Daphnia pulex: one gene and its partner. The protein of the gene in region 2 purifies or fractionates together with the protein of the main gene of each other region. This does not show direct contact. Links are inferred from orthologs where the notes say so. Each region holds a gene or a part of one and is shown on either strand. Other genes may lie near its edges.

The links.
Region 1: the proteins of transcriptional adapter 1-like (region 2) and ubiquitin carboxyl-terminal hydrolase 22-like purify together in Homo sapiens (affinity purification with mass spectrometry; 4 studies listed by BioGRID and IntAct, with this or other methods). This does not show direct contact. The link is inferred for Daphnia pulex from reciprocal best matches to the Homo sapiens genes TADA1 and USP22.

Annotation. Positions count from the first base shown.
Region 1 is NC_060023.1:10,807,341-10,819,823, reverse strand, and holds ubiquitin carboxyl-terminal hydrolase 22-like, read right to left. Parts: upstream 6,652-12,483; 5' UTR 6,437-6,651; coding exon 6,314-6,436; intron 6,254-6,313; coding exon 6,121-6,253; intron 6,060-6,120; coding exon 5,844-6,059; intron 5,779-5,843; coding exon 5,606-5,778; intron 5,497-5,605; coding exon 5,351-5,496; intron 5,282-5,350; coding exon 5,162-5,281; intron 5,088-5,161; coding exon 4,829-5,087; intron 4,746-4,828; coding exon 4,567-4,745; intron 4,480-4,566; coding exon 4,330-4,479; intron 4,236-4,329; coding exon 4,193-4,235; 3' UTR 3,493-4,192; downstream 1-3,492. Other genes in the region: uncharacterized protein LOC124196741, read left to right, coding at 760-962, 1,351-1,773, 2,070-2,294, 2,491-2,949. UniProt on the Homo sapiens protein: Deubiquitinase that plays a role in several cellular processes including transcriptional regulation, cell cycle progression or innate immunity.
Region 2 is NC_060023.1:11,637,173-11,648,660, reverse strand, and holds transcriptional adapter 1-like, read right to left. Parts: upstream 6,837-11,488; 5' UTR 6,745-6,836; coding exon 6,677-6,744; intron 6,618-6,676; coding exon 6,581-6,617; intron 6,522-6,580; coding exon 6,234-6,521; intron 6,167-6,233; coding exon 5,808-6,166; intron 5,738-5,807; coding exon 5,572-5,737; intron 5,506-5,571; coding exon 5,422-5,505; 3' UTR 5,255-5,421; downstream 1-5,254. Other genes in the region: WD repeat-containing protein 5, read left to right, coding at 3,599-3,694, 3,778-3,874, 3,948-4,111, 4,174-4,263, 4,326-4,465, 4,544-4,694, 4,765-4,845, 4,905-4,992 and 1 more; large proline-rich protein BAG6-like, read left to right, coding at 7,325-7,393, 7,463-7,580, 7,650-7,802, 7,865-8,093, 8,153-8,594, 8,657-9,538, 9,607-9,861, 9,937-10,134 and 5 more. UniProt on the Homo sapiens protein: Probably involved in transcriptional regulation.

The DNA of each region.
Region 1 (12,483 bases), about 830 kb from region 2:
CGCGAGAATCGTAAAAATAGATAAACATCGCAGTCAATTTCCTAAATCATCAATGCCCCCGCCTCTATATAGCTAATAATAAAAAACTTAATACTATACAACCTGTTGGAGAAAGAAAAAGGGAAGCGGAGAATAGCGGACCCTATTTCCATAAACGGCAGCCCCTCGGAATAAATTTAAAAAAAAAATCGTGAAAGAGCGTTCACAATGTAATAATAACTGCGCCGAGCGGTTTAAATGGACGTAATTTTCGGGAAAGCACAATTTTCGTAGCTAACCCCAACGTCTAGTGTAATGTTTGGAGAAAGTTTGGAGCGCTTCCCCTTCTCTTTCACACCTTGCAGGTAGCGACCAATTAGACCCTGGAACTTTAACGTCCGGAGAAAAGAAGAAAGACAAAATCATTGCGAACTTAAAAAATTAAAAATTGTGGGTCGGGACTGTCACACCTTGGGTTTTCCATCAGTGGCAGGCAGCGCTATAGGTTGGTATCATTCTCAATGGACCATGCACAGCTGTCTGTTGACGGATGACTGGCTGGTATAGGACAAGAAACTTATTTTGGTTTCTCACGTTGATTCTCATTTTTCCCTCCCGTAATAATAACGTGACGTGATTTTTTTTTGTTTTTTTCGTGAAGACTTCGTTACACATATTCGATGATGGTCAACAGTCTGAACGACCGACACCGCAAGCCGAGTGACAGCCATGGGAACAAAAACAAAAAAAAAAATAACTTTTGATCGAACATTTTTCAAGGTTTATGGACGGGAGCTGTTGTGATACTCAGCGGCCTTATGGGCATCATGGCCGGCCAGAAGCGCACCAACCTGATCTACATCGTCGCCTACCTTTTGATGAGTGTGCTGGCCCTGGCCGCCATCGGTCTATTGCTCATCTTCGCCGCTACTGGACTGGCACGAGACTCGGACGCACCTCACGGATACTTTGTCGATCAAGAGGTACTCAATAACACGAATCTTCTTCTTCCATCCTTTTAAAAGGTCACGGGAGAGTAAACGAAGCGTTTCTAAAAACCCGCCCTCCCGACGAAACATTCCCGTCACCCAGTCATCCACATTGTTGTCCCATTTTCATGCCGCAAAACCAACATTGCGCAACGCGCCTTTTATATTGTCGACGCTCTGAACCGTGAGCATATCCAGCAGCTGTGCAAAGGCCAGCGACTTTGATATTCATTTGAAGAATTTGAACCGTCAATGCCACCCAATTACGAGACCCCAGAAACCCAGATTTTTTTTTATTGCACACGTTTCTCATTAAATTGGTGTCCAACTAGCCGTGAAAAAATTGACAAATTGGATGTTTTTTTTTTATTTGGGATAACAGGAAGGGAGTCGAGTGGAATTCCTCGGAACTGTGCCGTTGAGGCAGCGGCCAATCATCATCAACGCCGTTCTAGTTGCCATAGGAACTTTGTCGACGATCCTGTCGCTGGCGGCCGTGGTGATTTGCCTGCGTGAAGCGTGTCTGTGTTACGGTCCCCAGACTTCGGCAGGCGGCGGCCAACACCGTCGACTGGTCAACAGTAACAGCAGTTGCAACAGTAGCCATCATCACAAAATTGGCGCTAATCGCATCGGTTCCGTTCCCAATATGAATCTCCTGACGGCCGATCAAAGCCCAGAGGGTCAGGCCAGAGCTTACCGTCTGTTACGCTGGTTGCGCCAGTCTCATCATCACCAGCAACAACAACAACAACAAAGACGTCCACCACCGCCACCTCTGCTCCGACGCCTCTATAGCCCACAGGTGATTTCAACAATCAAAAGATTTTCTTATTCTTTCTTTCTTTCCTTTATTATTCCTTTGACGTCATTACCGTTATTATGATTACATTGTGCCTCTCGGAATTAGGCTGGATAATAATTTACCGTTAATATACTCGCTGTTGGTAGTAGCAAACTGTACATACTGGTCAAACCGTACAGTGATTGCGCACACACCCAAGTTTAAATAAGTGTTACTTTGCCTTGGGTTGTTTTTATTATGCTGTTGGAAATGTTGCGCACACGTTTCGAATGTTGAACGTATTTTCTTCAATTAAGGTCCCCATGGTGGCCCATCCGATTCCAGTTGCGATTCCGACGACGCCAGCGGCTGGCGGGCATCCGCCAGTCGGTTTCCCGTCGTTCGTTACCGGAGCTCCGACCGCTTACGTCATTCCAGCCGGTGCCGTCCCCGTACTCCAGCCAATGATTTCCGGACCAGCCTTCTACTCGCTCACGAGCCTTCCTTCTCTTCATCACCACCACCCGTCCAGCATGCCACCGGTTAGTAGTCCACGGGTTTTACGATTCTTTTATTTTTCCAGCCGCCGGTGTGTCAACTAATATAAAAAAAAGAGAAAGATAAATCAACTGGAAACTATGAAACTCACTGTTTATTTTTCGTTTTAAAACATGAACGTATCATTATTGGTTGACTATTTACTATCTGGTGCTGAGTTATGACTTTTCCTCTATGCAGCACATGCACCACCACGCTAATTACATGCACCGGCCGCCAGAGATGGCCAGTCTTCCGGCTGCACCCACAGCCGCTACTCCCGGCCCGTCTCGCTGTGAGAATCCGCACAACAACAATAAGAAAGACAACAAAAAGAAGAAGAACAAGAGCAGCTCGGATGAGAAACGAGTCCGCAAGTCTCGCAGCGAGGCCGAAGACCAACCGGAAGCGACTCAACATCAACCGAAACGACCGACGACTGGTGGGCCTCAGCAATTCATCTCTTTCGGTATGGCCCCACCGCAACAGCTGACGACGCCATCGATGGACGTCGACGGTGAGAGTATGGTCAGCGGTTACATTTACACGGGGATGGACCGCGACATTGCCGAAGAATTCATCCTACATTCCATGACGATTCCGGCACAGGCCAGCGGCAGCGTCAAGAGCGGCGCCACCGATAAACGCGAGATGTTCTGAATGCCCAAAGTTAAACCACCACGTCCTTTCTTTATTGTACAATTAAATCGTCTCAATTATTTCTTTATCATTCGTTGATTTTTGTTTTTCTAACCCACTCAAAAGGAAAAAAAAAGGAAGAATAATGTTTTGCTATAGAATAGTGGCTGTCTTGATTCATTTGTAAATTGAAATATCATAGAGATAAGAAACATGTTTCCAGCCAACCCTTTTTTGACGGCAACCGCGCTGTCATTCAAACGTGTCGTTTTTTTTTTTATTTTCTGAAACACATTTCGTTTAAACAAGAAAATTTCCCAACGCAGTCATCAGACATCTCAACTTTTCGTTTCTTTTTGAATAGGGGGGATGTTTTTGTGCTTCCAACTAATTTCCTGAATTTACCAAGTCGATGGATGAGGGCCTATTACAACTTTCTCTCGCGACTTCGGATATCCGTCGTTGCTGTCAACCTCCCCTCCCCCAGACGACGTCACGCTTTCTCTTCTTCCGCGTCTCTCTCTTTGTTCTGACCTCAATCGGGATTGATTCCGTTCGTTCATCTTAACTTTTTTGTTTTTGTTTTATTGATTTCACGACCGACGTAACACATGCAGACACACAGAAAAAAAAAAAGAGAGCTAGGAAACGACACTGAACACATAGATTCGAGAGAGTATGTCGAAAAGAAAATCGAAGGTGCGCAATAAAATAGGGAAAGAAATCCAGCCATCCGCAAAAATAAAAATAAATCAATTGCGGATGGTCGTGTGGTCTTCGTCCATTTTTGTTTCCTGTTTTAAGTAGATCTCGTGTATGTGATTCGGATTCGGGAGAAGGGGTTCGGGTGGAGAATAGCCGGAAATGACTATATATACCTTTGATCGAAGGAGGAGCGGGGTGGAGAGAGAGTTGCTTGGGATTTACAATCAAAAGAATCCAAAGGGCAGAAACACCAATGGGAGGGTTTATGTCAGAGAAATCTCGCTTTTTTTTTCGTCTTTCAATTCCTTGTTCTAACCATTTTGTGTTTTTTTCATATTTTATTGAATCGTGAAAAAAGAAAAAATGAAAATGGTCGTTTTCTACGGTCATTAACCGCCGATGAACTGTCTGGAAGTGGAAGTGAGAAAGGGAAATTAAAAAAGGAAAAACAAAACAAACAAAAAAAAGGTCTTGTGAATGGAGGGATGGATGTTGCATGCAAAAAAAAAAAAGTTGACTCGGTTGAGCTGCCCTTTACAAACATTTTTCTTCTCCATTTCTATTCATACTCCAATATCATCTTGTGGTAGAAGAGTAGGTACCTGAAAAACCAAATCACCCAATTAATATCCAAGAACAACCAAGCAAATTGCAAAATATTTTAAACTAAGTTTGTTTTTGTGGAATATTTGATACCCTTCACTTTGGAGGACGTCGCGAATATCAGCTTTGGTGATGAGATGGTCATCGCACTTGAACCAATGGTCTCGGTGCTGCCGGATGTAGGCCGTGTAGTGACCGGCTTCAATGGTTCCGACGTGGTTGATCACAGCAAATAGAGAATACCTGGTGGGGTGAGAAGGAAGGAAGCAACGAGGATTCCGTCACAGTCACATTCGGTCGTTTTCTCAATAAACCGAGCAACAAGTTTACATGTTTTCAGTGGAAATAAGGGGCTTGTGGACGGGCCTATCAGCCCGGTCCGGAGAATCCGAATTGACGTTGTTATTGATGTTTCGACGGTGGGACATGAATGGACTCATGTCCAGGTATTCTGGAAAGGCGATGAATGACGAGATCTTCTTATGGAATCGATTGGAATGTTCAAAGCGCTGCATAAAGTAAAGAAAAAAATAACGATGAGTGGTTCATAATATGACGTTCAAAGTCAATAAAAAAACAAAACAATACGCACCTTTAGGTGAAAACTAGCAACCACTGGCAGTTTCTTCATCGTCAGTTGTTTTGTGGATTCTTGGTAGCTAAGACATCGCGAACACTTGATCTTAGCCGAAGATCCCAAGTGCTCTGCCCGGGTGAATCGCTCCAAACAGTCCTGCAAGGAAGTGGGAATCGATCCAGGGCCGTTGCCAGTGGTGACGACTTTCGTGCTGGGTGACGGACCGAGGTCCAGGGAAATATCCCAAAAAGGATCTACTGTTGTAGAGACACCGCTGCAGTGAACAAAAACAAAATAACCGTTAAGACCAGCAAATTTAGGACATCAAACATTTGAAATAGTTATTACTGGCAAGCTTGACAAACGACGTCTGACTGCAAACCACCAGTGAAAATTTGATCTATGATACATGTGCACCGATTGACAGAGTTCTCTTGAGGCTGAGTCGACTGTTGCTCATTTGGTCCTCTGTTAAAAATCATTTATATTTAGAATGTCACGTTTCTCACGACTTTTATAGCCAATGAATAATTTCACCTGCAGTGTCGATGGAGTACATCCAAAGTTGCTATGAAAAATTCGTGGGCGTCTTGCTGTTCATATCCAGCTAAATGACGAGCGTGAGTCCATATCAAGTGAAGAAGTCGGTGCAATGTCAGAGGAGCCTTGTTCCCCGAATAGAACTGCGAAAGAGAAGATTAAAAAAGAAGCGATAAGTCTAGTAGGAGTGTTATGAATCCGAAAATAGATTTCTCACAGGAAACGAGGATTCTTGTTTTTTGGATGACATACCTCTTGGAATAGGCGAGAGATTTCGCAGACCAGACAGCGACTCGGTTCGTCTTGGAACTGACAAATATGACGATCCGACAAGAAGAAATCTCTGAGAAGAGGTACTTTTAAGAGAGCCTGTACTATGCAGTTCATGAAACAGGTGTTGCCCAAATTCACTAGACCTCTGAGTCCTGCCATGAATGAAACATGGAGTTAAGATAAAAGATTGGATAATGAATTTTTTTAAATAATGAACCGATAGTGGCAGAGTCTGTGATCTTCTTGCGTCGTGTATGCTTTTTGAGGAGCTCAATTTCTTCCTCAGAAGGTTCCCATGAATGATAGACTTGACCCAGTCCCAAGGAGAGAGAAGCTTTGGTTTGATGCTTTTGAGCAATAGTTTCCAATTCTCGGTCATAGACGTAATCCCCACACTGAAAGCAGCACACAACTCCATAAGTCAGATCTACAGCTGTAAAAAAAAGGAGGCTGCATTAGTATCAATGAGATTTGATTTTTGGTTGTCGAATTACCTAAGAAATGTTTCCGCTGCTGAGAGTGGGCCTGTATGTGACCAGCACCATAGCAGCCAAAGAAAATGCAGTGAAGGCAGGCATGAAGCCTGGGTCCTCTTCGCTGACAGACATGACACACACACGATTTGGCCTAGCAACAAAAATGATGAGTAAAGGAGTGATTTAAAAGAAACAATACTTGAACTCTTACCTTGCGTTTACGGGCTTCTGAAGATGTGCATGCCACAAAAAAGGAATGAATGAGCCGGTAGGGCCTAGTCCCCTTGGCCGCTTTGAAGTTGTTCAAGTGGAGACAGCCATGGGCAGCCGACATGGCCACCGACGGTGAATTAGACTTGGGCAAAATGTTGGCGGCTTTATAATTCCACACGTTTTAATAGAGACCTTATAGAAAATTAATAAATTTCGGCCTCTACAAGCCCAACCTCGACGGCTTTCTCAAGAAGAAACAATTTATCTAAACGCCATAGCTTCTTTCCTTTTCTGTAGGCCAAAAAAAAAAATTTATTCTGCTAAAATGGTAAAGCGCCATCGCCATCTTCTGTCCAAAATAACAACCTCGTGCAACGTTGAGCAGACAAGATTTTTTTGAGGAAAAATGGAGGGAGATTTTTGTGTGAAAACCGCAGACAACAAATCAATTATATCCTGGCCGCCGGAAATGTGGTAACCGCTAGCTTTTGTTCGGAAATAATACATGGACTAGTGAACTTTTTTTTTGGTGCAGGAAGCAATTCCCCAGGAGATAACCTCATTTTATATAATGATTTCAAAAGATTGGAACGAAACGTGTTTTTGTTTCCCCCTTTTCTTCCGAATTCAAGATAATTGGCAATGTTTTGGCTGGGTGAAAATGAGGTCGGGATTTCGAAGAAGACGTTTTGCCAGAATCAAAATGCTCGTGGAATGTGAAACTCTTGCATTAAAAAAACAACAATGTTGGAAAGTGATGTTTACACGGATGATGAAGCCCTTGGATGAAGTGAAACGGAGTGGAATAAAATCGAAAGTTGAGCTATTGCAACGAGCCGTGAAATAACCAAACGTCACCGTCTCCTTTATCGACGATATTCGACCACAATGGCCGAGATCGACGACGTGTGCAACACATCACATTTCTGCCATAAGTAAGTGGCAACTGGTTTGCAATCAATTTTGGCAATCAAACTAGATTATGTCGGCGATGCATTTCAATCGCCACATGTCTGAATGAATTAAGATCAATCCAAGGTTAATAAATTCGACATGGTCAATCAGCTGGTGTGTGTGTGTAAATAGTTATCTCTCCCCACGTGTTAAGTCATTCTTGACGCGAAATTTTCATAATAACGCTTTCGAGGTGGCCAAAAAACCATGTGATATCCAATTGGACACGATGTGTCGTGAATAATGATGCTGTTGTGGAATAATCTTGTGGCCTTGAAAGTCAAAATCTTGAAGAAAAGAACTTGGGGATGTCTGCCAGTGTTATATAGTCGAAATGCCCTTCAAAATGGATTCTTTTTCATTTTATTTTTCTTTTCTTTTAGGTTCTCGAAGCTTAACTTTATAGCTGATAATAGAAAAAAAAAGGACTCCCAAAGCCCCTCGAGGACGTGAAGAAGAAACTGGAAATGTGTCTAAATGGCCGCTGGAGAAGAACTCGCTTCCCAATATTTAAGTATATACATGTTTTTCTATACTTTCAAACGTATCCAACAACCCTATGGCTTCGCCCTGCTGATGACCAGCCCATATAAGTATACGGTAATTCCCTTTTTTCTCTCGAGACCTGCTGGTGTATCCAATTATGCCATAATCGGCCATCGTGGAATTGTGTTTTTCATCTCTTTTCTTTTTTCGCTGCCAACCAACCGAGTCATTCTCACCCTTCTTCTTCTTCGGTTGTTAAAGGGCCTGCTGGAGAGTTTCCTACATCTTGTCTGTTCGTTCATCCTCGCATTGTTGAACACACGTAACAACTGAGAAACATTTTTCCTGGTTTTCGAATGTTTTGGAAGGGACCAGCTGCCCAGCTGGTGTCCCCCTTTATCGATTCAAATGAATGTTATCCGTTTTATTTGATTCGTAAACGTTTTAGAAAAAATATTTTCATGGCAACCCTAGAGCCTCTTGGCAAGGTCAGGGCCTGCCCAACTGTTGAGGTAGTTACAGAAAAGAATCTTCTTCCACATTTGGGTGTAAAGGTGTGCACATACATTTTGACTCTTTTCTATATTCTGCTGGGTGGCATTGGGATTTTAACAAATATCCCAACTGACAACCGACTTTTTGTTTCTCTTTTGGTCTCGGTGTTTATATGGGCGATGGGGCACAAGGTTAAGCACAGTGACCCAGTCCCCCCCTATTTCTTCTTTCAACACAACAATCCACCAATCCTGATTGTGTTCCATTTTCATTTGGAGATGGGGGGATAACAGCTATTTTCGACTACTTTTTACCTATTTTCCCCCCAGTGGGTCCTGAACTCTATGGGTCTATTACATTTAACCATTTTGTTTATATTTTTCGTTTGTCTTTTTTATTACCTGCAGAGTCGAAGAGGAGAGAGAGAGAGAAAGGAGCTGAAAGAGACTGGACATCCATCCCAATATCGTCTCCAGGGTCGTCCTATTCCAATGATGAGGAGCGCAAGATAATAAACAAAAAAAACTACACAGACATCAGGTATTTCTCTTCTTCTTCTTTGAGTGTCTTGCTTCTAGTCTTGGGATGACCAGGAAGGTGGTGACCTTGTACCTTATATCAACCGAGAGCCATCGGACTTGCTCGGCGGACAAGTCCTACATCGCCGTGTGTATATTTGACTCGGCTGGATAGTCTGTTTGTATAGAAAAGAAAAGAAAGAAGAAGAAGAAGAATCTATCTGAAACCTTCATCTTATTTATATATTCCTCTCCCTTTCTTCTTTTTCTACACAAACACACGAACAAACTCTCTCGCATTTTCTCTGTGTGTCGGATATTTCTCCTCCGAAGTTGTTGGCCCTCCCTGGTGTATGCTCAACATCGAAAAACAGGTTTTTCTTTTATTCCTGGCTGAAATGTCAGATGGAAACGCACAGCAAAAAAGAATCGAAAGTTATTTTCCCTTTTTTCGTTTGACCTTTTCATCATTCGAGAATCCGGTATGTCGAAATGCCCACCGAAATTCCCCCAGAAAAAAGACGCACGTAACATCGGCAGTTATTATAGACACACGAGAGACGGTAGCCTACGTGAGCATGACTGGGCAGATTATTTCATATGCGGTGGAAATCGCGGACCGATCAATTTATGTCAATCACACAGACGACGGTTGACCTTAGCTAGGCGAGCGCCAATAGGGCTGACCACAGTGCGAACAATATTGGCAGAAGAATCGAAAATGGGTCAGCACGCTCTTGTGTGCCAGCTCTGCGTGCCCGTTCTATTGGCACAGTCGGGGAATCATAAATCACCTGGAGCGAAATGGAGAGAGAAAATTTCGCCCGTCACACACACACATTTTGCTTTGAACGTGTTTATTTTTTCGTCTTCTCTCCATTTGTCCCAATTCCTTTTTTTTCTTTTTTAACTTTTGCTAATTAAAAAGTTTTCAGGAAAATCGGAATTTATCGATTGGAAAGTGTTTTGTCTCGAGATCGTGTCTTTTGGTCAAATAATCAGTTGAGGGGCGAGGACACATTAGGACAATGATCTTTGAACAAAATTGAGGAACCCAACGGGTTGAGCCGGCCGACCCAAAACCAGATCTCATCTACACGTCCAGCACCAATTGAGTGGAAACTCTTTTTTGTTGTTGCTGCCAGTTGATGGCCACCACCGCCGCCACCGAGCTCTTGCACGATCTCGGGGTCAAACCAGAACTGAAAGAGTTTTAACTACACGATATATCCAGGAGCAACAACCCCGGCTAGGTCTTGAAATCTTAAAAAAAAAATCGAATTTAGATGTTTCTGACGAAAGAAGATGAAGGAGAAAAACGAATTTGAGAAGCCCAATAGGAGATTTTCTTTCTGGAATTGTTAAACTAACAATGTCCTTGATTGTATTCTCCTCTCTACACATAGGGGATTACTTTTGATTCTTATTCGTTTCGGGTTTTTTTTTTATTTTTTATAGAGAAAAGAAGAAGACGAAAGATCGTGATAGGATTTTATTTTTCTCGTGTACGCCGTTCCGCATCAACGATTCCGACCGAGTCGTCGACCGATTCGGAATCCTATTTCGTGTTGGTTGAAATTTGAAAGAGATGGAAAGAAAATTTATTTTATTTTTTCCTAAACCTGGAAGTTGTTGTATTTCTTTTTTTCCCCTTATCGAAACTGGTAATCTGACGCCGGGTTAAGCACGAGCCGGTCCATCTTTTCCATTATCATATTCCCCTTTATAATTTATTTATTTGATCATTTTTTGAATATTTTGTAGTTTGACGACCGCGGCCTTCACAAAATTCAATTTCGGCAGAGCCCACCAGACGAATATATTTTTTGGTAAAAAGGACATAATATAATTTACAGCTTTCATTATGTCTAAATTAATTTGCATTCACCCAAACCCGTTTCCAAATTGTTGTTGTGTAACTCCTGACCATCTTTCGGTTACGAGTTAGAAAGAAGAAAAAAGAAATGGTTCGAAGTGGGAACGAAGCCAAACAAAACCATTTTCCGAGTTATTAAGAACCCGAGTCCGGTCGATGACGCCTCTGGAGGAATATTCTTACGTAGATAATAACAAGAAAGAAAGTGAAAGTGTCCTGGTATGTTGTATTCACCATTTTTCCTCCTCTACACTATTTTTGCGCTTATATTCTCTCTCTCTCTCTCTCCGCATGTAAATCAACATATTCGGAATCATCCTGACGGCCTAAAGAATGAAATTGGTTGGGTGTCTCACTCTCACTCTACGTGCTGCGCAATTACTAAATACTAAATGACTTTGCATGCGGGGGCCCATAATCATCAACGGTCCGTAACCAACCAGCTATAGACGACGTGTTGCGTGATGAGGTGTTGGCAAGTTGCAACCTAAAAAGTTTGTCACTAAAATTCCTCTCCTTTTTTTTATTATTTCAGGTTTTCTTCTTTTTCTTTTTCTTACTAGTCACTTGTTGACGGACGGCCAAGGTCGGCGTTGTAAAACCATCAAAAGAAGAAGAGGACCCACTCGAGTTTGAAAAGACGACGACTCGAGTCCTCTTCTTGTGCTACTGTACGTTACGCAAAACGAAGCCGAGATGACGGGGCGGGAGTTGATGCGTTTAGAGCTTCTGCCAAACGATTATGGCCGGGCGGGAAAACAAAAAAAAGAAGATGTTTCACCAACAACAGGTGATAAAGAAATGACGTTTTTTTAACCACTTTGAGACGAGGAGGAGAAGATTGAACTTGAGACAAGATGTCACGTCACCGACCTTGTTGTCTCTCCTGAATTTGGAAATGAATTATTTTCGGTTTCTTTTTTTCGTTTTACAATTAAATCAACACACGGCACGAATCAACGCGGCGTAGTGGAAATTGAAAAAAAAAAAACTTCGAGATTTTCGTTACACGATTCTTGTTTCCCGCCTTGGTATTATTTTTCTTCGGGGACACTGGATTGGTTCGTTCCGCAGAAATCGTCTTGATTCTCCTTCCGGCAACCTTGAGACAACGATCCGCATCCTTTTTTTTCCAGCACACAGAAAATTGGTGTATCTCTCTGTGTCTTCGCCACCGTATAGATGACAGGTAACACTTGGAATTGTTTCCTTTTTTTTTTTTTTGGTTTTCTATGCCATTTCCCGACAATCGTCGCTGCCTTGTCGAGTGATTCCGTGTTTTCCTTTGACGAAAAGGCCTTGCCAGCGCTACATTGTCTAATGACAATAGGCGAGAAATATAGGAAACAAATGAAAGGCGAGGGGATGTAAATCAAATAACAACATCCCCTTGTCTATGCAGTGGCTTGTAAATTTCTTATTCAAGGACGTTTTCGCCTTTATTGTGTAGTACACCCCCACACGAAATGGACAAGTTTTGTCGAGTCATCCTGGATTTTTACAGGTATGCCCTCCGCCGGCGTTTGACTTGAGAAAATTTGTTTTAATTCTTTTAGGTCTAGAATCACGTCCCTCAAATTCATATAATCCCCCCATTGATTGATTTGGTACTTATTTGAACTTTCTTCGCCCTCTTCTCCTTTCAGGTTCGTTTGTCCGGATTAGAAGAGTCTCAAGGTTTTCTCTTTTACTATTTTTTCCTATTTCGTGCTGTCCTCCATTTTCTAGATGGAATCGGCCATTTTTTGGGGGTCGTTCTCATAATCAAAATGCCGGTTGACTCTCAAAAAGAAAAATAAGGTGGAGAAAACGTGTGGAAATTGAACAGTCAACCGATAT
Region 2 (11,488 bases):
ACGGCATGCATTTGATATCTTTTCCATTTGGAAACCCTGCTGAAGATCAAACAGTTAAAACACTTATGACTGGTAAGATAGAAATTGCAGGCCAAGATCTAATCTCGTTACAAATTTTTTTCTTGATCAATCAGCTGGCATTTGGACGTCAGCAAATGACTTTATTACTCGGCGGGTCTGGATTTTCCGTAATGGATCCATTTTGAGCCGAGAAAAAGCCTCTAAGCGATCGCTTCAAATTAATGGACTTGATGAATTGACTTTAAGTGGATTGCCTCCCCTTAACGAAAACACGACCTCTAGTTGGACACAACCCACAACTTGCATCAGCTCCAGTTTAAACAATAACACACTCACATTCTATCCGGAATCCTGCTTGGAAAAGAAACAATTCATTTGTCAACAATTCATAAATATTTCATAATAATTTCTTATTTTCTAAACTTTAACACATGTAGCGATGATGCACACGGAAGTTTAGTGGTTTCTGCAACAAACAAATAAACCACCGAATTTGAACGCGGTTAATTTTGGTGCTTGAAATTCCTGTAGATAATATTTATCCGATAGGTTGCGGTCAATCTCAAAGTGACAAAGGATTTCCTATTTTTATTTAAAAAGCATGCCTAAAGTGGAGTAAGTAACTATAATTTATCACTCCGCTGTGTCTAGGGTTTTACCGCTGCCATGAAAATCGTAGTGAACTTTGCGCCGGTTTTTGTATTTTTTATTCAGTTAACGGTCGTTAACTTGATCGCTGCACAGAATACATTAAATCCGTTATTGGATATGGACGATCCACTTGAAGTGAAAAAAGACGTCATCTTTCAGGATCGATTAGTTGAGCGATTAAGTTCCCTGGTTCAGTCTACAGAACAAAATATCTTAACGGTAAACAACATTTTCTTTGTAACGAAAGGAACATTTATTTATTTAAATTTTATTCGACAGATGCTCTCAGAGATGCAAAATCCACCATTTGTCCAACTGCTAAAAGGTAAGCCTTATAAAGAACTGTGGAGTACTTTGAATTAACATATTTGTTTTTAGGAATCTGTCCCAAAATGCTAATGCAAGAACCTGCCAATGAGGGATTGAAGTTCCGTTGTCATGCGTCTGGAATAAACGAATGCCTTTGTTTCAGCCATAAAAAGGTAAGTGGTTTCTGTGTAGCCTAATACGGCGCATTAGAAGTTGACATGTGATAGTGACCAAAGTTTTGCTTTTTAAATGACAAAGGCGACTTGGTACAAAGCCGAAGCATTTTGCCGTCAATTTCGGATGACTCTGGCAGATGTACCGACGGACAAAGTAGAATGGATTAAACACAAAGTCAACAATCCATCGGCCGTCGATGGAAAAGGCGAATGGTACTGGACTAGCGCGACGGATCGTTTCGTCCGCGGTCAGATGATTTGGATGAATACTGGCCAGCTATATCAAAATCCTAATAGCAGCAGCGACGCAAGTGAATTCGAGTCTTGCCTGAAATTCTCCAGTAAAGGAGATTTTTTATCAGAATCCTGTTTCGAGGAGAACCATTTTCTTTGTCAAAAGTTTCTTGATTTTTTCCCGCTTAATAGCCGCAATTTATCAAAGACTTGACTTGAACACTGATCACCTGTGTTTTATAAAACAGCAATTATTACACGACCATGCGTTTGTAATTTGAACGAGTTCTAATACAATTTGCATCGGATCTTGTTTCGTTCGGGAAAAACAAAACAAAGGCTAATTTTTAAAATCTCGACAGGAAATTACATTGTGGTTAACCTCACTTCCTGTAATCAAGAATAAGTGTGGAATGGTTCCATTTGTTTGTTTTTTCAAGTCACTTTAGAAAATCCCGTCGCTCAAGAATGATTACAACCAACGACTGTTTCTACTTTTTGAGTTTCTCGTTCATCGTTTTCTTGATGGCCAGTTTGTGCGTGATAGTACCAATTACACCTGTTAGTGCTGAATCCACGAGCTTTTTACAAGAAATTGAAAGTCTCGAGGATGAATATTTTGCACTGATTGAAACGGTAAATCATTTAATCTGTAATTAGTCGTTTTTTAAATTAATTTTCTTTTTGTGTTAATATTAGATTTCAAAGGAGGATCACATTAACGATATCCTGATTCATGGTATGAATGGTTAACTTCTTTTTAGTTATTCACACTCACCTTTCTTTAATTGATCTTTTAATTCGCGTAACAAGGAACTTGCCCAAAACATTTCACGGCCAAAAAATTTCGTTGTTTGAAAGTAAACGGCGAATGCTACTGCATCGTCTCTGAAGATGTATTATAAAACACATATAGAGCAGTCTCATTTAAATGAAATTCAATCACTTGTTGGGTTACATCACTAATTATTTCACAGAGAAACTGGTGGAGTGCTCTCCATTATTGCCGGCAGTACGGCATGGAATTGCTGTCGCTTGAGACGAAAGAAGAAGAAAACAATTTAGCCAAACAACTCAAAGCAGAGAAAAAAAATGGTGATCACGGAAATGTTCTTTACAAAGTATAATTGAATGAAATCTAATTTTCAAAATTTAGTTCAAAAACAATTATACTTGACATCCGGTAATCGTCTTTACGGCAATCGATCAACTTGGATGTGGGCTGGTACAGGCGATATTCTCACGAGAGAAATGAATTGGCAAGAGGGAGAACCATCACGTGTACATGGAAGTACACAAGAAGAATGTCTAATTTGGGTTTTAACGTTTAATGAAACCCTCCTTATTCATGAATGGAATGACTTGAGTTGTACCGATCATCGTTACTCGTTTATCTGTGAATCTAAATCTCTACGACATAGTGCTGATATTTTGAAAACAAATAATTAGATCATTAGATTAAAAGCATTTTACCGTTTACTATTAAATCACATGACTACTCTTGTGTTATAAACGACAAATACGTCTAGATTAGTAGTGAACTACTTATGGTTGAAATGAACATGTTCACCCCATTTCCACTAAGCTTGCGCATGAGATAAAACCTGAACGAGGAAACTCGATTTTAAATTTCAAACTCTTGGCGCGAATCCAGTCTAAACTTGGTTAGTTAATCATAGATGTCGCTGATCAAGTCGACGCCATCTGGTGGACGTTTGGCTCAACACGAGTAGTAAACCCGTGCTGCCGAAAGCGTTGTCACGAATGTTAAGTGTTGCGTTTTGTTGGATTCTCACGTTTTGACGGCGACTTTAATTGGATTCACTTATTACACTATTTGTGTTGAGTGTTTCAGTGTTGCTTGTGACAGTTGGTGAAGAAGAAGAGAACGACCATGTTCTTTATTACCGCAGTTCAGTGCCTGTAATGCAAAATATTATTAAGGCACACAGCTGGGCAAATCTCGTGCGTACCTTACACTAAATAAAAGAAAGGTGTTGAGGCCGTCTACGAATCATAAGAAAAATTTGCAAAAAAAACAAAAAATATTAATACAGTTTGGATAGTTGCCAAACACTGATTAACAATCCTGTGCCAGTGTAGCAGCTGACTGTTGAGTCCACTCATCACTGTCCAGGAAAACATTGTAAATTCGCTATTGTGCTTGAGATTCAAGTATACTGTTGGCAACTTCTTATTTAATCAAAATGGCTGATGATAAAATGAAAGGTGATCAGGATTTTAAGAACCACAGTAATAATTCAACTACTTCTCCTCTTCAAGCAAAGCCAGCATCGGGGTTGGTGAGTAACCCTTCCAACCCGGAATTTTCAATTCTTACAGCATTTTAGGATAAAAAGTAATCTTAATTCAATATTGTATTTAGAAGCCAAACTATGCCCTCAAGTTTACCCTAGCTGGCCACACAAAAGCTGTGTCAGCTGTGAAATTCAGCCCAAATGGAGAATGGCTTGCAAGTTCATGTAAATATTTTGATGGTGTATGTTCAGGAGAATTATATTTCTAATAATGTTATAATTTTTTTATCATGAATAGCTGCTGATAAACTGGTGAAGATTTGGGGTGCCTATGATGGCAAATTTGAGAAATCAATCACAGGTCATAAACTTGGTATCTCAGATGTAGCTTGGTCTTCTGATAGCCGCCTGCTTGTGTCTGCCAGTGATGATAAAACCCTCAAGATCTGGGAACTGAGCTCAGTAAGTCTTTAACCATTTATTTGTGATGTTAGCTCATCTCTAATTCATGTATGTTCTTATAGGGGAAATGTTTGAAGACATTAAAAGGACACAGCAATTATGTTTTCTGTTGCAATTTCAATCCCCAATCCAACTTGATTGTCTCAGGCTCAGTAAGTTTTCAACCACTCGCCTTCTTTAAAATAGGCTATTGACCTTTTTGAATTGTTTGCAGTTTGACGAGAGTGTGCGCATCTGGGACGTCAAAACCGGAAAATGTTTGAAAACCCTTCCTGCCCATTCAGATCCCGTATCAGCGGTTCATTTTAACCGGGACGGATCTCTTATCGTTTCGTCAAGCTACGATGGCCTTTGGTATAATCGTGTTCATTTTACTAAATAAATTCGACCTCTTAATTTTATCGATTGGTGGTGTTGATCACTTGTTTACAGCCGCATCTGGGACACGGCTTCCGGCCAGTGCCTAAAAACGCTGATCGATGATGACAATCCTCCCGTCTCGTTTGTCAAATTTTCACCCAACGGAAAATACATCCTGGCTGCAACTCTCGACAACACACTGAAGTTGTGGGACTATTCCAAGGTGTCATCATGAATTCAACTCTAAAGATTTTTGCAGATTTTACCATTCTTTTTTCTTTGGCTCGTTTCAGGGCAAATGCTTGAAAACCTACACCGGCCACAAAAACGAGAAATATTGCATCTTTGCCAATTTTTCGGTTACTGGAGGAAAAGTACTGCTTTAACAATCCACGTTTCATTCTTTTACTTGAACATGTTTTTCTTTCTGCAGTGGATCGTTTCCGGCTCTGAAGACAACATGGTTTATATTTGGAACTTGCAAACGAAGGAAATTGTTCAGAAACTTCAAGGACACACCGGTAAGGCTTCCTACCGGGGGACCTGCTCCTTCTTTCACATTTAATTTGTCTAGACGTCACACGCGAACTTATATCCCTTCATGTTTCATTCTAGATGTCGTGCTGTGTACTGCATGCCATCCGACCGATAATATCATCGCATCTGCTGCATTGGAGAACGATAAGACTATCAAGCTCTGGCGTTCCGACACGTAGACCGCGCATTTAGCTTTGTCGCAATGAACCAACAACAAAAAATAATGGGAAAAAAGACGATGAAAAGCAGTTTTGAGGTGTGTACTTTATAGGAGAATTTTGAGGAAAAAAAAATGCAATTTCTTGGTATAAAAAAGTTTCCTGGCATTCTTGACTTCTCATGGCCTCCTCGTCGACAATACAAACATCTTTTTTTTTAATCGTTATAATTTCTTTAAGCAAGTAGATTCGAGTTTAATTGGGGTGATAGAGGCGCTGTGAAATGCGTTCCATATTGACGGCGTGCACTGTGTGCCAGGGAATGACGCCCTTTTTAACCTATTGTTTATTCAATAAAGAAACATGAGGATTAGTTTGAAGTTTTGAAATTAAATATCGACTTACTTGTAAAGTTTGAAAAACGTCAAGAACGGAAATCGGTTGAAGTGCGGTAACTTGTTCGGTAGTGCACGCTAGGTAGAATGCGGAATCCCGCTCTGCTTTCTGAGATGTTTGGGGTATGGCAGGAACGTGAGGTGGTTCCGCAGCTTGCGAAATTTCGGTCAGATAACTGATTTAAAATGAGAACACTTAGAAACATTGTTGTTGAAAAAGAATAGGACTGTACAATAAATATTTACCTGTTACTGGTACTGTCTTGGATGGACCATGAATTGTGTAGCCACGGATTAATTGTAGGTTGGCCAACCGAATAGATGACTTTGTTCTCTCGAAGGCGGTACCCTTTCCGGTTTGTTATGATAGCAATTATCAGTTCTTTAAGAAATTGCTTGGTAGCTGCCAGTATCAGTTTGATGGCTTTGTCTTCACAACCATGATCCAAACCAGCATCCCAAGCTGCTACTAGCATTCGACCGTGAACGAGTCCAGCGTCAGGTAAAATTAGATCCTGGCTGCAGTAACGAAGCTGTGGTTTCTCTACAGTGCAAGGAGCAGAAAATGGTAACAGAGAAACTGGATTCACTGGTTGGAATCGATTCTAGATAAGAAAAGAATTATGTTAATCAAGGTCTCCAATGAAAATTCCAATAATTAAGACATATTACATCAAAGTTGACAGTGAGAGGCTTGTTCTTTGGGTAAACTTGTCTTGTCACAGTGATCGGTTTGATTTCAACAGAATTACGTTTCTGTAGAGGAATGGTATGTGGTCTGATTTTGTTCACTTCAGTGACAACAATTGGCTTTTGCTTCACACCATGATAGACATAGGTTGAAGGCTGGCACAAGCTTTGACATTTTGTAACAATGGCCAAAAGAAACTCATTGTGAAGATGAACTTGGTCTACTTTCAGGTACAATCTGGCTTGGCGATCAAACTCTTCTTTGCTTGTCTAAATAGAGAGAATGTCAGTTATGACTGAATGGATAGTATAAAAGAAACATTTCTTACCCTCATACAAAACCACGATTTCAGGTGGGCAAAATAACTAAATAAAACATGATATTAGAGATATACCACCACAAATATCAAATCTGATTTATTTACTTCTTAGAAGAATCTCCCAAAACATCCACCAACCGTTTCCTGGCTTCGTTAACATCAAGTGCATTCATTGTTGTTGTGTTCTGACTTTTGAACTGCTTCGCTCACTTTTTTAGATTTAACTCGCCATTGGATTTCGTCTACACCTGTCTTGCCTCGACTATCGAAAACCACCAAAAGATGGTGCTCATTCCAGGAATTGATTTTCATAAAATAATTTTTTCCTTGAATTTGTCATTGATAAATATAACGTGTAAAATTAGATAAAATCTTGTTCGTAAAATGTACAAATTATCATGAAATTGAAGTGAATTCCTCTTTTACGGTTTAAAACCAAGAGAAATAGGTGGCGTTGTAACACAACTTGGTTCGTAAGCCTATGAATTGTCGGCTGTGTCGTGTCGTGTCGATTCGATGTGGAGACAGTTGCGCCTCTATTTGTTATCGTGTATTATTACAGGCCCGATTTCCAGTTTTCCACGTTAGAGATTTACATTTCGACACCCATTACACAACTGACGTCGGTTCAGAGCCGTCCGGTTAGATCGGTAAAATAAAAAATACTGAAACCGAATAATTATTATTAGTGTGTCTGTATCGTCACCAAACTACAGCGAGGTTGGAACTCGAGGTGGTGAAAGCTAAACAAAAATGGCAAATATTGAAGTTACCGTCAAAACCCTCGATTCGCGTAATCATAAATTCACAGTTTCAGAGGAGGTAAGACCATTAAAAGAAACGACTCGTGAGTTTTAGATAGGGGAAACTAACTGGATTTCTGTTTTGCAGCTCACAGTCAAGGAACTTAAAGAACACATTGCTGGGGATGTAGGAACACCAGCAGAGACTCAGCGTTTGATTTACTGTGGCAGAGTTCTTCAAGATGACAAAAAGCTCAGTGAATATGGTAAATTGAAAATACTCTTTCCTAGCTCAAAACAAATGATTGGCATGTAAATGTTTTTGTGTTTTACAGACCTGAGTGGAAAAGTCATTCACTTGGTCCAGAGAGCACCTCCAACAGTTGGTAATCCTCCTTCAGGACCACCAAGAACTCAAGGATCTAGACCAGGAAACATTCACTACCACCTAGACAGAGGGTTTCAAAATGGTGCCAATCATTCATTTGGTAAATTTCTCATCATTATTAAAAGTAGAAATCTCAATAACAATGTTTACGATCAAATGAAGGTTCAGTACCAGCTCCAGCCGGAAGTAGTTCTCTGTTGCGTTTGAATACAGCCAGACACATGCTGGAGGATGCCTCACAGAGTTTGGGAAGGATCAGTTCAGTTCCCAGCACTGGTTCACTCTTTACAATGGATAATACTGCTGAGGGACCCTACTCATCCATACAAATGGTTCAAGCACAGGCTGCCACTGCTATAGCTGCTGCATTTTCAACTGTTCAATCCTTGGGGTAATGACAAACCTCCAAACTAAAAAACTAAAAATGTTAGTTACGTTTCTTTTTATCAGGGCAAACAATATTGCCGTGTTGCAAGGACCTAATGGATCACCAGCAGTTCAAGGATCGTTTGGTTTTCGGGTGCAAGGGCCTCAACCAAATAATCCACCAGAGAGTGGCAGTGGCGCGAGCGAACGCGTAAGTCCTACAGCTCCGACTTCAACAACACCCCCTTCAACAACTCCTCCTTCAACCACCCCATCTGCAACTCCTTCGTCGGCTCCTTCGTCAGCTCCGTCGTCAGCTGCAGCTCCTCCTGGTGACCAACAACCTCGACAACAGCAAATTCGAAATCCTCGAGTGTCTGTCTTTGCCGATGTCATCGAAGATATGGAACGGATCCAGCAGGATCTTCGCCCTCATTTGACAACCGTCCGTCAGCTCCTCAGAGATGATCCCGTATTGGACAGCACATCACCTGAATACCGGCAAGCACAACACACCTACAACCAGGTTCAGTAAAATCATATTATATTTTCCTTTCCATGTTTTTCAATTGATTTTTGATCCAAAAGGTAGCCGAAGGATTGCACTTTTTGGCCCACGCTTTTCACGCCATGAGCGATTTAATGGTTGACTTTGGAACTCCCCCTCCTCGTGAAGTCCGTGCTAGACCCTACGTCTACCAACAAGTTCTTTCATCGACCATACCCATTCACGCTTCAATCAGCGTCGAGACTACACATACCCACCGAGCTCCTCAGACACAGGCTAACCCAGCAGCTCCTGAGGCCGCTACAGCTCCTCAACCGCAACCAGCGCAAGCTCCTCCGCGATTGCCCACAAGAATATCTCCTCATGAGTTCATCCGACACGTTACCCGCCCACCCACTGCAGCTACTGCTGCCAATCCATCAGTTCCTCCAACTACAAATCCGACATTTCATGGTTGGCGGGCTGCTGGAACGACCGGAACGGGTGTAGCTAATGCATCGGCGCAGAATCCCCCAGCTCCAAGAGCCTCAGTCCAAATGCTGCACCCTGAAATGCTGGTCAGGGGAGGACCGCACCCGTTTGGACGTTTGCCTTTAGCCATGGCGAGTCAAGGAGGCTGGACCCCTGTCAATTTAGGTGGTCAAATGCATCCAATGTCGCTCTTTATGGAAGTTCGCTCGAACAACAATCAACAGGAAGATCAACAAGCGTCTCGTGGGCAATCACCAACATCTTTGGGCGAATTTGACGACTTTTTACCGTGTCATTCTCGACATGTTACCCGCTCGTCTTCATCCAGACCCGACACTGAGCGAGCCAGACCACGCCCAGTGGTTGTCACTTCCACGTCGGCGGCACAAGCTTTTCCCGGTCTCAATCAAACCCGTCCACCAGGCCCTGGAAATCAACCGACAGCCGTTCCGGCCTCCGTCGACGAATTTATGAACGAAATGTTTCGTCAGGTAATTGCGGCATTGAAAATTGCGAGAGGAAAACATTGATAATGATTGGTCATTAAATGGAAATTCAGGTGACGGCCAATAGCGGTGTACTATCAGGCGGGGTAGTAGCAGGTGGAACGAGTGGTGGAGATGGATCCAGCAGCCCTAATCCAGTGTTAACCAACGCCTTGTTTAGTAGTTTGCTCCAGGGAGTCATGCAAGAAGTTGCGGGTGTGGTGAGTGGCCATCAGTCGCCCAACACGGTGGCCCATTTCTTACGCAACATTCCTGATTTCACTTACACGGCCGGCGAGTCGTTCCTCTTTGACCTCTTTATGACTATGGTGAAATTTACCTTGACGATGATGAAACGATCCATTCAAAAACTAACAGCTGACCTTTATTTTTTGACTAAAAAGGCGGATCACATGACATTCCGTGATTTGATGGCCCTATTTTACGGAATGCCGGAGGCTTTGAACCAGATGAGAGATCATTTGAGGAATTTCGCTCGTCAACGAGTCTTACCTTCCGGTGGTGACTTTTCAGACCCTTCCGTCCGACAGGGCATCATGACACTGGTCAATCAAGCCATGCCCTTACTCCAGAGTGCTGCCGTAGGACACGATTATTATTATTACATTTTTCATTTCAAGTATTGACTAAATTGTCTGGTTTTAGGCCGAGGCCAGCATTCGTCCCGATGTGGATTTCGTCGCTACCATGGCCCAATTCATCCAGCAGTGTCTTCACGAAGTCATCCAGTTAATTGGAATGCCAGGTATTATTGAACTTGTACTTGACGTTGATAGCTGATTGACTTTTCTGTTTTGTTTAAGGTGAAAATCCGAATTTCGGCCAACTGATGATGGATAAAATCCGCCGGACTTTAATACTCGCTGCAGCTTTAGCCCTCAATTGTTTCACCGATGGTTCCACTAGTCTTGAACGCGTTTTCCTATCTCAGTTGGTAGGATATTAAATGAATTATTATAATGAATTGAGGCGCTAATTGTTTTGTTATTAAAATGTAGCGTGGAGTATCGGATGGAGTTCATCCAGCAGTCCAAGAGTGGACGACAAATTCGTCGATCGAACGTCTTCGTTCACTTTTGGCTTCCGTCGATTTGGATCAACTGACGCCAACTATTGAGCCCATGGTGATGAACACGGAACGCGGAAGGACCTGGACTGCCCTTTTCAATGCAGAAGTGGAAGAGATGACCGACACAAATTCACCGGCCGCAGCGACCGTCGTTGCTCCCGAGTCTGTTCCCCCAGTGGCTACTGGATCGACGGCACCAGTTGAAGAAGAACCGATGGATGTGGTAGAAGAGAAGACGGAAGAAGCAGCATCCGCACCAGTTTCTGCACAGCCCGCAAGACTTAGTCGACTAGAGAAACTCCGCCAAGATGTTCGTCAAAAGGAATCCAGCCAAGTGAAACCTCCAGAGCCGGTCATTGACGTCGTCATGGGCTCTCAGTCGTGGCACAACGAAGTCCCACGGGTCAGAATTTTTAGAAATCGTTTTTCATTCCACCCAAATTTTTAATTAATTTTGTTTTTAAATACAATTTTCTGACAGGAATGGGTACCGGTGATTGCCCGTGATATCCAACGTCAAAATCGAGCTCCGCCAAATGTGCCGCTCAGTGACGCCTACCTGGCCGGAATTCCCAATAAGCGACGCAAGTTGGCCGAAGGCAATCGACCCAACACAAATCCTCAGTTGCTCCTCCAGGGTAATTAATTCATTCATCATATTTTATACAACGTTTGTAAAACCCTTTTTTTTTTTAATTTCTGAAATGTTAGAAACGATGGAACGCGCCCTGCGTTCTGCCAACGTCTCGTCGGCCGCCGTTGGTGAAGTAACGAATGTGGCCACTGCCAATGTCGAAGTGGGCAGCGCCCTTTTGCCGGAAATCCGCCGTTTGGGCAACGCCAGGCTGGACACGGACGCCGATTTC